2 linked regions of the Drosophila melanogaster genome follow. The gene in region 1 interacts genetically with each later gene. Each region holds a gene or a part of one and is shown on either strand. Other genes may lie near its edges.

Region 1 (5,580 bases):
AATATCTGCTCCTGCACCTGCGTCTGGGCGGAGAAGAAAAAGAGGTCCAGCAGGTGGACATTCTGCATAAGAACCACGCACAGCTGGTTCAGCAGGATCACCAGGCGCTTCTCGAGATCGGGCGGAAAGATCTCGCCCTGGCTGGATGCCAGTATCTTGAGCAGGGGTCGCAGGAAGGGCTCGTGGCAGAGCAGCTGGTGGCGCGAGTGGCTGACGAGCAGTTCGTACAGCTTCAGCTGCTCCAGCCTCACAGCGTTGGCATACCGTCCCGTGGTGCAGGCCCACTCGTACAGCTTGTCCAGCAGATTCTCGCTGAGCAGGAATTCCAGGCAGGGCGCCGCAGGCGGACCACTAGCCTCGGCCGCCGGCAGCGAGACTTTGTTGCAGTGATGCAGCTCCACGAGCAGCAGGGTGACCATGTAGTCCAAGTGCGAGACCACGCCCAGCACGTCGTCGTGCGAGGGCGGTGCACTGTGCTGGATGATCTCGAAGGCCTGCTGCCAGTGCTTACAGAAGCTGTCGTAGCAAGCGCGCGGATCGCAGTCTGTGGCAGCGTCGATGGGTCGCTGTCGCAGTGGGCCGACGTGTCCGACGGAGGCAACGCCTCCACCGCTGCTCTGGCGCAGCCACATCGTTGTCGGTGCGGTGTGTGTGCGATTCGGTGGCTTTTAGTGGCGCTGGTCCGCTGATAACTGCTCCGTGTGCGTTTCGTTTGGCATGAATTGGTGGTGCTGGTGCTCTGTTATCTCTCGTTTTGTGCTTTTGTCCGACTGTGTGAGTGGTGAGTATTTCAATGTTGCTCGCTTTTTAAATATTTAGAAGCTAAAAGAAGACGCACTTTAGTTGAATATTCGCTATTTACTTTTCTCTAATGTTCCCAAGAACAACAAGTGACACACTTACGCACACAGCCACACACACACCTGTGTACGTGTGCCCACCTATTTGGGCACTCACTGTGGTTGTTGTTGCTGCTGCTGCTCGCTCACCTGATGAATTTAGATTTGATCATCGTCATCGTCTCCGCTGCTTTCCGCTCTCCGTGCATCGTGCATCTACACCCATTACTGTTTAGTGGCCCTTCTTAGATGGGTTTTCACGCTTGCAGCATTTGCAGCGTTTTTTTTTTTGGCACTTTGGCAATTACAATTACAAATACAATTAAGTGGTAGTACCAACACTTCCGCAGATTTGCGGACTAGATTTGCGTTCTTGCAGCACGAAATTCGCGCTTTTGGCGCGGGTTTTGAAGTCAAGAAAGGGAAGGCAGTCCGGCCCGCACTTTATTGCCTCATTTTGCACTATTTTCGTAGTGTTTCCAAAGCAATTCTGCGTAAATATTTACAATTATATCTGCACGGAAATAGAAAGTTAGCGATGAGCAGCTATCAATATAACATATCGATGTTTCGATTATACCTGAGATACATCGGGAATTTTTGACATCGGGGTGTAGCAATTCCATTTTAGTTTTATTTTTATCTAATTATCTATTCACTTTTAAAACAGCGTGCTATGATCACAAGTATTAGTTTGATTAAATGCGTTCTGTTTCATTATCCCAGCGTTCCACTTACCAGTATTTCTTATCGCCTGTGTGACCAGACTTCCGCGCTTCTATCAGCTGTTCGCGCTACCGCCATTTGAATTTAATGAAATGGTAAATACAAAAATTTGATTTATTTAATTCCATTTCCCTAATCATTTATTCCTAAAGCGGCGCAGTCTGGCTCCCAGCCAACGTGGACCACTGCGTCCCGAGTCCCGTCACTCCTTCACGCCGCCACTGCTGAAGAAAAACAAGCGATCCTGCCAGCAGGAACTGGAGCGAGAGCAAGAACTGGACAGAAGACGACTGGGCGCCCTCCGAGATGCCAGCAACACATCAGAGCTCCCACTGCCTATTCGCTTCACGGCGAACAGCGAGTATGAGTTGGCCATTGCCAAGGTTCTGGCACGGAAGTTCAAGGTGCCCATGGACAATTACGTACCGGATTACGGTGGTAAACGGGTCCTGGGCGTGCGGCGCTGCATTTCCCGACGACCCCTACACGATCCGATGGCCTGCAACGCCTTGGTACTCTTCCATCCACCCGCCTACACAGAACACGAGCGCATGGGCATGGATCCGACCAAGGTTCTGGTGCACGTCGTCGTCGATCCGCTGCTGAGCAACATATTGCGGCCGCACCAGCGCGAGGGAGTGCGTTTCATGTACGAGTGTGTGGAGGGAAAGCGGGGCAACTTCAATGGATGCATCATGGCCGACGAAATGGGTCTCGGGAAGACGCTGCAGTGCGTAACGCTGGTCTGGACACTTCTAAGGCAGGGGCCCGAGTGCAAGCCGACGATCAACAAAGCCATTGTCGTGTCTCCATCATCGCTGGTTAAGAACTGGGAGAAGGAGTTTACCAAGTGGCTTCACGGTCGACTCCTTTGCCTGCCCATGGAGGGCGGGACCAAGGAGAACACCATCCGAGCACTCGAGCAGTTCTCCATGACTTCTGCCCGGCTGGGGACACCTGTTCTGCTCATCAGCTACGAGACATTTCGCATCTACGCGGAGATCCTGTGCAAGTACGAGGTGGGAATGGTGATATGCGACGAGGGACATCGCCTCAAGAACAGCGACAATCTGACGTATCAGGCTCTCATGGGACTGAAGACAAAGCGACGGGTCTTGCTTTCCGGCACTCCCATCCAGAACGATCTTACTGAGTACTACAGCCTGGTGAACTTTGTAAACCCGGAGATGCTGGGAACGGCGGCCGTGTTTAAGCGCAACTTCGAGAGCGCTATTCTGCGGGGCCAGAATACTGACTCCACGGAACAGGAGCGACAACGGGCCATAGAGAAGACACAGGAGCTGATAGGTCTGGTCGATCAGTGCATCATTCGTCGCACTAATCAAATTCTAACCAAATATCTGCCGGTTAAGTTTGAAATGGTTATCTGTGCGAAACTGACGGCGATTCAACTCGAGCTATACACGAATTTCTTGAAGTCTGATCAAGTTCGACGTAGTTTGGCGGGTAAGTCATTAGGCAATACTACCACAACATTCCTACCATTTACAATTCCCTTCAAGATTGCAATGAAAAGGCTTCGCTTACGGCGCTGGCAGACATTACAACGCTTAAGAAGATTTGCAGTCATCCGGATCTCATATATGAGAAGCTCACTGCGCGGGAAAAGGGATTCGAAAACTCCCAAAATGTGCTGCCTAGTAATTACAAACCAAAGTACGTCGCCTGTTGCGCGCGAATAGCAATGGCTATTAATGAATCTTTTGTGTTCCAGGGATCTCAATCCAGAGCTAAGTGGCAAGTTCATGCTCCTGGATTTCATGCTGGCAGCAATACGTGCAGAGGGCAACGACAAGGTGGTTCTCATTTCCAATTACACACAGACCCTGGACTTGTTCGAGCAGCTCGCGAGGAAGCGAAAGTACGGATTTGTCCGGCTTGATGGCACCATGTCCATCAAGAAGCGATCGAAGGTTGTTGACCGATTCAATGACCCGGAGTCTGACAGCTTCCTTTTCATGCTGAGCAGCAAGGCTGGCGGCTGCGGCTTGAATTTGATTGGAGCCAACCGCCTGTTCATGTTTGACCCAGACTGGAATCCGGCCAACGATGAGCAGGCAATGGCCAGAGTGTGGCGTGACGGGCAAAAGAAGCCCTGTTACATATATCGCCTCGTTGCCGTGAGTACCTGAATTGGTTCTGCACGGAACTTTCTTTTTCAACTCAAGAAATCTCTTTCAGAGTGGTTCCATCGAGGAGAAGATCCTGCAGCGACAGACGCACAAAAAATCCCTGTCGAGCACCATCATTGACAACAACGAGTCGGCCGAGAAGCATTTCACCCGCGACGATCTGAAGGACTTGTTTACATTTGATGCGAACATTCTGTCCGACACACACGACAAGTAAGAACTGGCTTTGGATACCCTTTAGATCATGATCGTGTAACATATCTTTTCAGGCTCAAGTGTAAGCGCTGCGTTCAAAATATACAAATGAAGCCACCGCCCGAGGACACGGACTGCACCTCGCATTTGTCACAATGGTACCATTGCTCCAACAACAGAGGCCTGCCTGACAATATTCTCGCCCAGGCCTGGATGGATTGCAAGTGCGTGTCCTTTGTCTTCCACCACCGATCGCAGGCTCAGGAAATTGTGCCGAGTGCTGAGGAGGAAGCAACAGATCAGCCAGAGGAAAAACCAGAAAGCCGCAAACGATCATCCACGCCCGCCAGTGATGACAGTGCCGATGAGGACTTCCGTGGATTCTAGCAATTGTTTGCAGTTTATTGTTTCTCGAATTTCCTTTTTCTTCGCACTTAAGTCTAAACTTAAGATAACTTTTTCTGGCTTCCTTTGCAATCCTAACAAGTTATTAATTTAACATTTCAAAAATGGAACCAGCACAAAATGTTAACGTGCTAGGGGTGAAGGCTTCTATAAACTAATCTGGCAATGTAGGAGTCAGTCCAGAAAATAGTTTACTTTTTTGTGAAATACTGATCAATTTCTATACTCTTAACTGGCCGCCAATCGGGCAAAGTAGTAGGTTAACATAGCTTAGGACAAATACAAGCAAACATCGAAATTCGGATTCTAGTGTGTATTCACTTGCTTAAGCGCAAAGTTATTTAAGTTGGTTACTTAAAATCAACAGCCATCTCCGCTAGCACGTTATTCTCTGCACATAAAAAGCAATTTGGCGTATAGCAACGTCCGGATTAAAACCCTGTCAGATACAGATTAATATTATGCGTGTGTATATGTATAAGTATTAAACCATTCGCAGTGTTAACACAGTCAATTGAACACTTGATGTATTCGGGTCTATACATCAATAATTTTATGCTCCAGCTCCACCCAGACGTTGCTCTTCTCCGGCGCCTTGAGGAGCGGCTGTTGCTGCAGCTCGGCCAAAAACCCACCGATGGCCTGATAGTACCTAAAAAGCAAGCACACCCATGGATAAATGGGAAAGTGAAGATTAATTGCCGGCCATACCCGTCCACTATCCAAGTGTCGTTGTGCGATCCGCCGGGGAATTCGAGCAGGCGCTTTATCTCGCTGCCGCATTTGGTATACAAGGCACGCATCATGCGCGGTGGCACTAAGTTGTCCGCAAGGCCCGAAATAAACAAAAAGGGAACCGAACACTTGCCTATCTTGCTCATGGAGTGATACTGCATGTGAAACAACAAACAATAATGTGGTAATGAGATAAAGTAAACAGAGGGCTCAACCGGCGACGACTACCCACCTTATTCTTAAATAATAGATTTGGTATATACTTCACAGCGGGATGCACCAGCTCCACGGCCATTTCCGGTATGCTGCTAAAAGTGTTCTCCACAATAGCGCACATTAGCTTCTGTCCATATACGGTATCGGCTGCAACGTCGACCACCACAGCTCCGCCCAGGGAGCGTCCGAAAAGTATCAGTTGCGAGTGGTCCAGGTCGTGGCGGGTGTGCAGGTAGTCAATGGCCGCTCTGGCGTCGGTGACCAGACCCCGCTCGGTGGGTACACCGGTGGATAGGCCATATCCGCGGTAT
Region 2 (5,192 bases), about 13 Mb from region 1:
GATGATGATGATGAGGCTATAGACACGGATCCCGTGGGTCTGGACACCCTCGATCACGCCCACTTCAAGTGTCCGGATTGCGACAAGGCATTTGATACGGCGGACAGCCTAAGTCTACATTTTCGCACGCATGCGGCGAATAATAATCTACTGAATTTGCCGTTGCCTCCTGCACCACCTATGTCGCATCACTACCATCACGATGCACTGCATCATCTCGGCCCACCGAATCCCGCCACACAAATGGGAATGGCTGCAATGGCTCACATGTTGGCACCGCCGCCGCCTCCACCGCCAACGCCAAGTGAAGGACGTTACACTATGCTGCACCACACGGCGGCACAAAGACTACATTATTAGAGTATAGCTACGAAGATTTATCTTAATCATAATTATTGTTTTAGATTATGTTTTGATATTGAACACTTTTATTTAGTTTGTCTATATAAAATGGAATATTTTGTCATGTTTGCTTTTATATCTTTACAATAAATACATGTAGAAATTTGGCAAGCACAGCTTCTATTAAGATTATTACTTAAATGCAAGAACTAAAATCACTAAAAACTCCCCGCGCGTACTTGTCGCATACTTGTCGTCGATATAAAAATGTCATTGTTGTATAAACTAAGCTTGATTTGTGTTTTCTGTAGGTAAAAATTGTAGTATCTCAATATTGGTTTGTTTGGTATTGGTATGCATCGTTGGTATCGGCTTAATCCAGTTTGAATATGTATATAAAAAGCTCAAAAATCAATCAGAGAACTATCATAAAATATTGCTTTTGACAACGGCCCGGATTGATTGATCCCAGAGATCGAAACCTCTCTACTTGAGCTTGGCTTTCAGCCACTCCTCGGTGAGTTCGTCTAGTTCGCGTATCTCGTAGACGCGTGTGAGATCTACTTCGCGCTGAAGAGCGCTCTTCGTGCAGGCGTACATCATCTGCAATTCGATCTGAAACAGAGAGTTATGAATTATAGAATATATTTGAGCATTGCTAAACTCCCACCTGGCTATCCCTGGGTGTGTAGAATATGAAGCACATTGGGTACGAAATGCGCTGATCGTCATGGACCATTTTATACGTATAGATGACATATCGGGGCTGGTGTCCTGGCAATGTATCCTGCAGCTCGTCCACCGAAATATCGTCGATGAACTCGTCCAGCACCACCGTTTGCTTCTCCCGGTCGACTTTCACTGCAAGGGACAATGGAGTGGTCATAAAAACTACACACATCTGTTACCATGACAATCAAGGCTTACATATCAAAGCCGCATTATTTTTGCTCTTGCTGAATCGAAACTTCTTCAATTCCTCCAGAACTTCGTTGCTTATGTCGCATATCTGGTTATCACTCTGTATGAAATCGATATAATTGATTAATGAATTGGAATCACCAAAGTTATCTGCTAACAACAATCGTCGATTGAAAAACAAAAACAAAAACACGCCCACACTCTATTAGTCATGTTTTCATTTTGGTAATTGATTTCCGACCCTATATACACTTCCTACCATAACTTTAGCTATGAAGTTAGGGATGCGATCTGTAAAGTGTGCTGCACTACCGAATTTTTGGCAGTTAATTGTAGGAATGCAATATCACTTGTCCTTAAGGAATCGTTTAAATACTGTCGTTTATTCTGAGTTTTGTTTTGTTGTTCCTGCAGTGAGACCGTTCACTGAACGCCAAATAATATTCTGTGCTGCATCAAAAATATGTGAAGTGTTGTTAAACGACGTTTCTGATAAATTAAAAAATAATAACAATATTTGCTAAAGGTTTTTTTTTCATTAAGCTTTTTTCTTTACGGCAACATTGGTATTATTTATGGAATTTATTAAAAATAATTGAAATGTATTTTTTAGATTGAAATAGGAACGCTCTTTTTTAAAAATGTTTTGTAGATATACTTAAAACTTATCATTATTTTATAGTAGGTAAAAATCGTTCGTATACGATATTTGGATCATGTTTGTCCTCTCTAGTGGCTGATGGACTGTCAAAAAAGTACCGTTACTTTAGGGTTGTTACAGAGAGCACTAACTTATAAATAGTTAATACTATAATCTATGTGCTTAATGTCGTAGTTACAATGAGCTTGAATTTATATGAGAGCAACATCCTTAATTCCTGCTGGAAAGCGGGAGGGCGCAAACCGAGGAAATCGGCATTTGGCCAACTTAATCGAAATGAGATCGCTGATGTGGATGTAGTCGCCTGCTGGTAATTAAATATTAAATATAATGAATTTTTTTAACATTTCATTATATTCAATTGTTTTCAACATTTATCTACATTTCAGCAAGCAAATCACCGAATTAATTGAGGAAAATGCATTAAGAAAACGCCAGAAACGATCCAATGTTTTGGCCGCAAGAAACCGGCAAAATGTTATTTTCAAGGACATTTCCCGCTTGGTTTTTGGAGTTGCGGATATTTTTAGATGCCAAGTGGATCTACTTTTGGGTAAGTATTAGTCCGAATATTACGTAACATTGATATATAATCACGAATTCTTACAGGGGACACGAAGGTATTACTTGACCAATGTACACGTACCAACTTGGATTACGTTCTCACCACAACAAAATCCGTAGTGGTCAACAAATCAGAGATTCGAATCCAACGCAAAGGAAAGCGGGTGATCACCAAGAAATCTAAAGTAACAGTATCAAAACGTCCCAGACTGCAGGAATCGGATCTATTGGATGAATTCTCACATGAATACTACGAGAAGATGCTATCCGAATGCCAGATGTGGCAAACGGAGTGCACACAACAGGTGGTGGAGGACCTGAACGAGGTTAGTCGTCAATATACTGTTGGACTGCTTCCTTATATGATTTCATTTTTCGCAAAAAGTCTATTGAACAACCCCGGAGTTGCACTCAGTCAAAGTCGTATCATTCCATTACAATCACCGAAGAGATTGAACTTCCCGAAGATCATAGCTTAATTATGCCATCAAATGGTTTTGGCGAAGCCGAGGGCGCGGACTTAACCATTTTTCAAGAGCTTTACCCCAAAGATGGCACACGGAACTCACGTAAGAATTCTCAATTCAATTGAAAATGTAATAAACTATTTTTTTGTATTATAGTAAAGCGACACTCAATAGCTCAGGATCCAACTGACATCTTACCGGATAAAATGCCCAGATTGGATGATTGCGATGTTTTCCAAGCTGACAATGCTATCATGACCCAAATCTTTCCGCATAACATTGAACCAGCTGAAGTAACTCAGATAGTTTGTGAACCGTCGTTGCCATCCGTTTTAAATTCTTTTGGAGAAATAACATTTAGCCACCCGAAAAATCGGAAAAGAAAGCTAATAGTAGACAAACGAATTGAATACACCCGGGAGCAGCTGGTGAAGCATAGACAGAAATATATGGAAGAATACCTTTCAAGGAATGTGATAGTGCCAAAATCCTCGGATTTACGGAAACCCCCTAAGGAACTTCTCTGTAAACTGTATAATAAGTAGGAGCCTTATACATTTTGCTATTTAAAACTTTTTAATTTTTTGATGTAGTGTAAGTTTTTTAGCTCTTCATAACCACTCCGGACCTAAGCTCAGTAATGAAGAAAAGGAATTCGAGGCAGAAAACACATTGAGAACCATATTTGGCTGCGAGTTTACCGAGAATCTTTCTAAAGAGATATTTGTGCGACCATCGCAGGCTACAAAATGTAGGGATAAAGCGGCACATATCTATCAGCCCGAACCGCTTGAAGTGGAAGACTGTGTGCAACCTCAACTTCAGCCACGTGATGATGTAAATCAGAATTATCATAATGAAATGAATGAGCACGGCATATACCGTGAGGATAATCATGATGGTGAGTTCAGCCAATGTTTACAACATGCTATCGTAAATAAAATATAATCTCATTGCAGATACCTACAGCGTAATGATGAGTCTCTTAAGCATTTGGCGTAATAATCCGAAAATCACGGGAATCGATGCCATTGATTTTATAAAAACGTTTGATAGTCGCATCAAGGCTTCGTTAGCCTTTCTCCATTTGTTGTGTGAGTTCGAAAAAGAACAAAATGTGTGTTGGAAATAACGTATAGCTTAAATTTCAGATCTTGTTCGAGACCATTTTATAGAGATATCAAAGCGAGCTAATTCGCTGGAAATGTACCAAATTACTCTTGGCAAAGAGTCCGCTAAGCTAATAGACAATCTTATGCTGAGTGAGACTCTGTGAATATTTTTAGATAATTTTTTTCAAGATTACCAAACAACTTTGTAGTTGACAATCTTCCACATTTTTGTTGTTGTTTTGTTTTCTGTTATTGCTATTGTGTTATAACATATAAGTTGAGCCAATCTCTAACCTAGATGGCTTTAATCTACTCTTTTTCCATACAATCTTATGGTACAATTGAGCAACGATGTCCTGGATAATTCGTTTCATTTCAAGAATTGAAAAATTCTATAGATGTTACTTGTTGCTGTCTATAAAAATAGTTTTTTTTTCATTATCATATTAGTTTCGTGTACCCATTAAAAGTTGTTTGTTATCTTTGTTACTATTACGTTATCGTAGCTATAATTCATTAACATTTGGAGTAATTCTCTAAACCGTAATTGTTGTCTTTGTTACAAAATCTCAATTTCTCTGACAACACCAAAAAATAAACAAGTTACAAAAACAAAGGAATACAGAGTGTTTGGCACAATTGCTTAAATTCCGATCTGCTGGGCCAGACCCGAATAGATGTGCAGCGTGCAGAATCCAATGACGGCCGCCACCAGCGCTTTAACAGCCACCGTTAGCCAAGGTCCAATGGTCAGAATGTGGAGCATGCCCTCCAGCCAGACGCCTTTGAAGACAGTCACCGCCAGAAGTAGACTAACCAGCGGCTTTAATGCCTTGTTCAAATCGTGACGGGTGAAGAGCCAGATCAGGGTGGCCGTAGTGATGTGCTGCACCAGAAGCACGTTCGATTCCAGACACTTGAGGATGTAGATCCAACTGAACTCGGTGCCTCGGGCACCCACCCACAGCATGATACCTCGGGAAAGAATCACTTCGGCGGTGGCCCCTGCGGAAGTATACGAAAATATTTAGTTTTTACTAAATTTTTGGAAGTTGTCATACATATATGGGTTGGGGTATTAAAGGTTGAGTAGGCATTGGCTCTTGTAACATTAATATATCTGAA

Evidence for each region.
Region 2: of okr (region 1) and c(2)M, changing one enhances a phenotype caused by changing the other (phenotypic enhancement), as found in Drosophila melanogaster (one study listed by BioGRID).

The regions. Positions count from the first base shown.
Region 1 is NT_033779.5:2,988,787-2,994,366, reverse strand, and holds okr (okra), read left to right. Parts: upstream 1-1,607; 5' UTR 1,608-1,657; coding exon 1,658-1,660; intron 1,661-1,717; coding exon 1,718-3,032; intron 3,033-3,088; coding exon 3,089-3,242; intron 3,243-3,300; coding exon 3,301-3,706; intron 3,707-3,767; coding exon 3,768-3,931; intron 3,932-3,987; coding exon 3,988-4,300; 3' UTR 4,301-4,773; downstream 4,774-5,580. Other genes in the region: CG3558 (uncharacterized protein), read right to left, coding at 1-632; Bem46, read right to left, coding at 4,856-4,970, 5,030-5,208, 5,286-5,580.
Region 2 is NT_033779.5:16,301,249-16,306,440, forward strand, and holds c(2)M (crossover suppressor on 2 of manheim), read left to right. Parts: upstream 1-2,015; 5' UTR 2,016-2,103; coding exon 2,104-2,234; intron 2,235-2,313; coding exon 2,314-2,477; intron 2,478-2,533; coding exon 2,534-2,814; intron 2,815-2,873; coding exon 2,874-3,057; intron 3,058-3,111; coding exon 3,112-3,496; intron 3,497-3,548; coding exon 3,549-3,856; intron 3,857-3,914; coding exon 3,915-4,049; intron 4,050-4,106; coding exon 4,107-4,231; 3' UTR 4,232-4,692; downstream 4,693-5,192. Other genes in the region: CG17328 (uncharacterized protein), read left to right, coding at 1-360; GMF (glia maturation factor), read right to left, coding at 829-957, 1,013-1,203, 1,270-1,363, 1,523-1,525; CG5861 (uncharacterized protein), read right to left, coding at 4,711-5,072.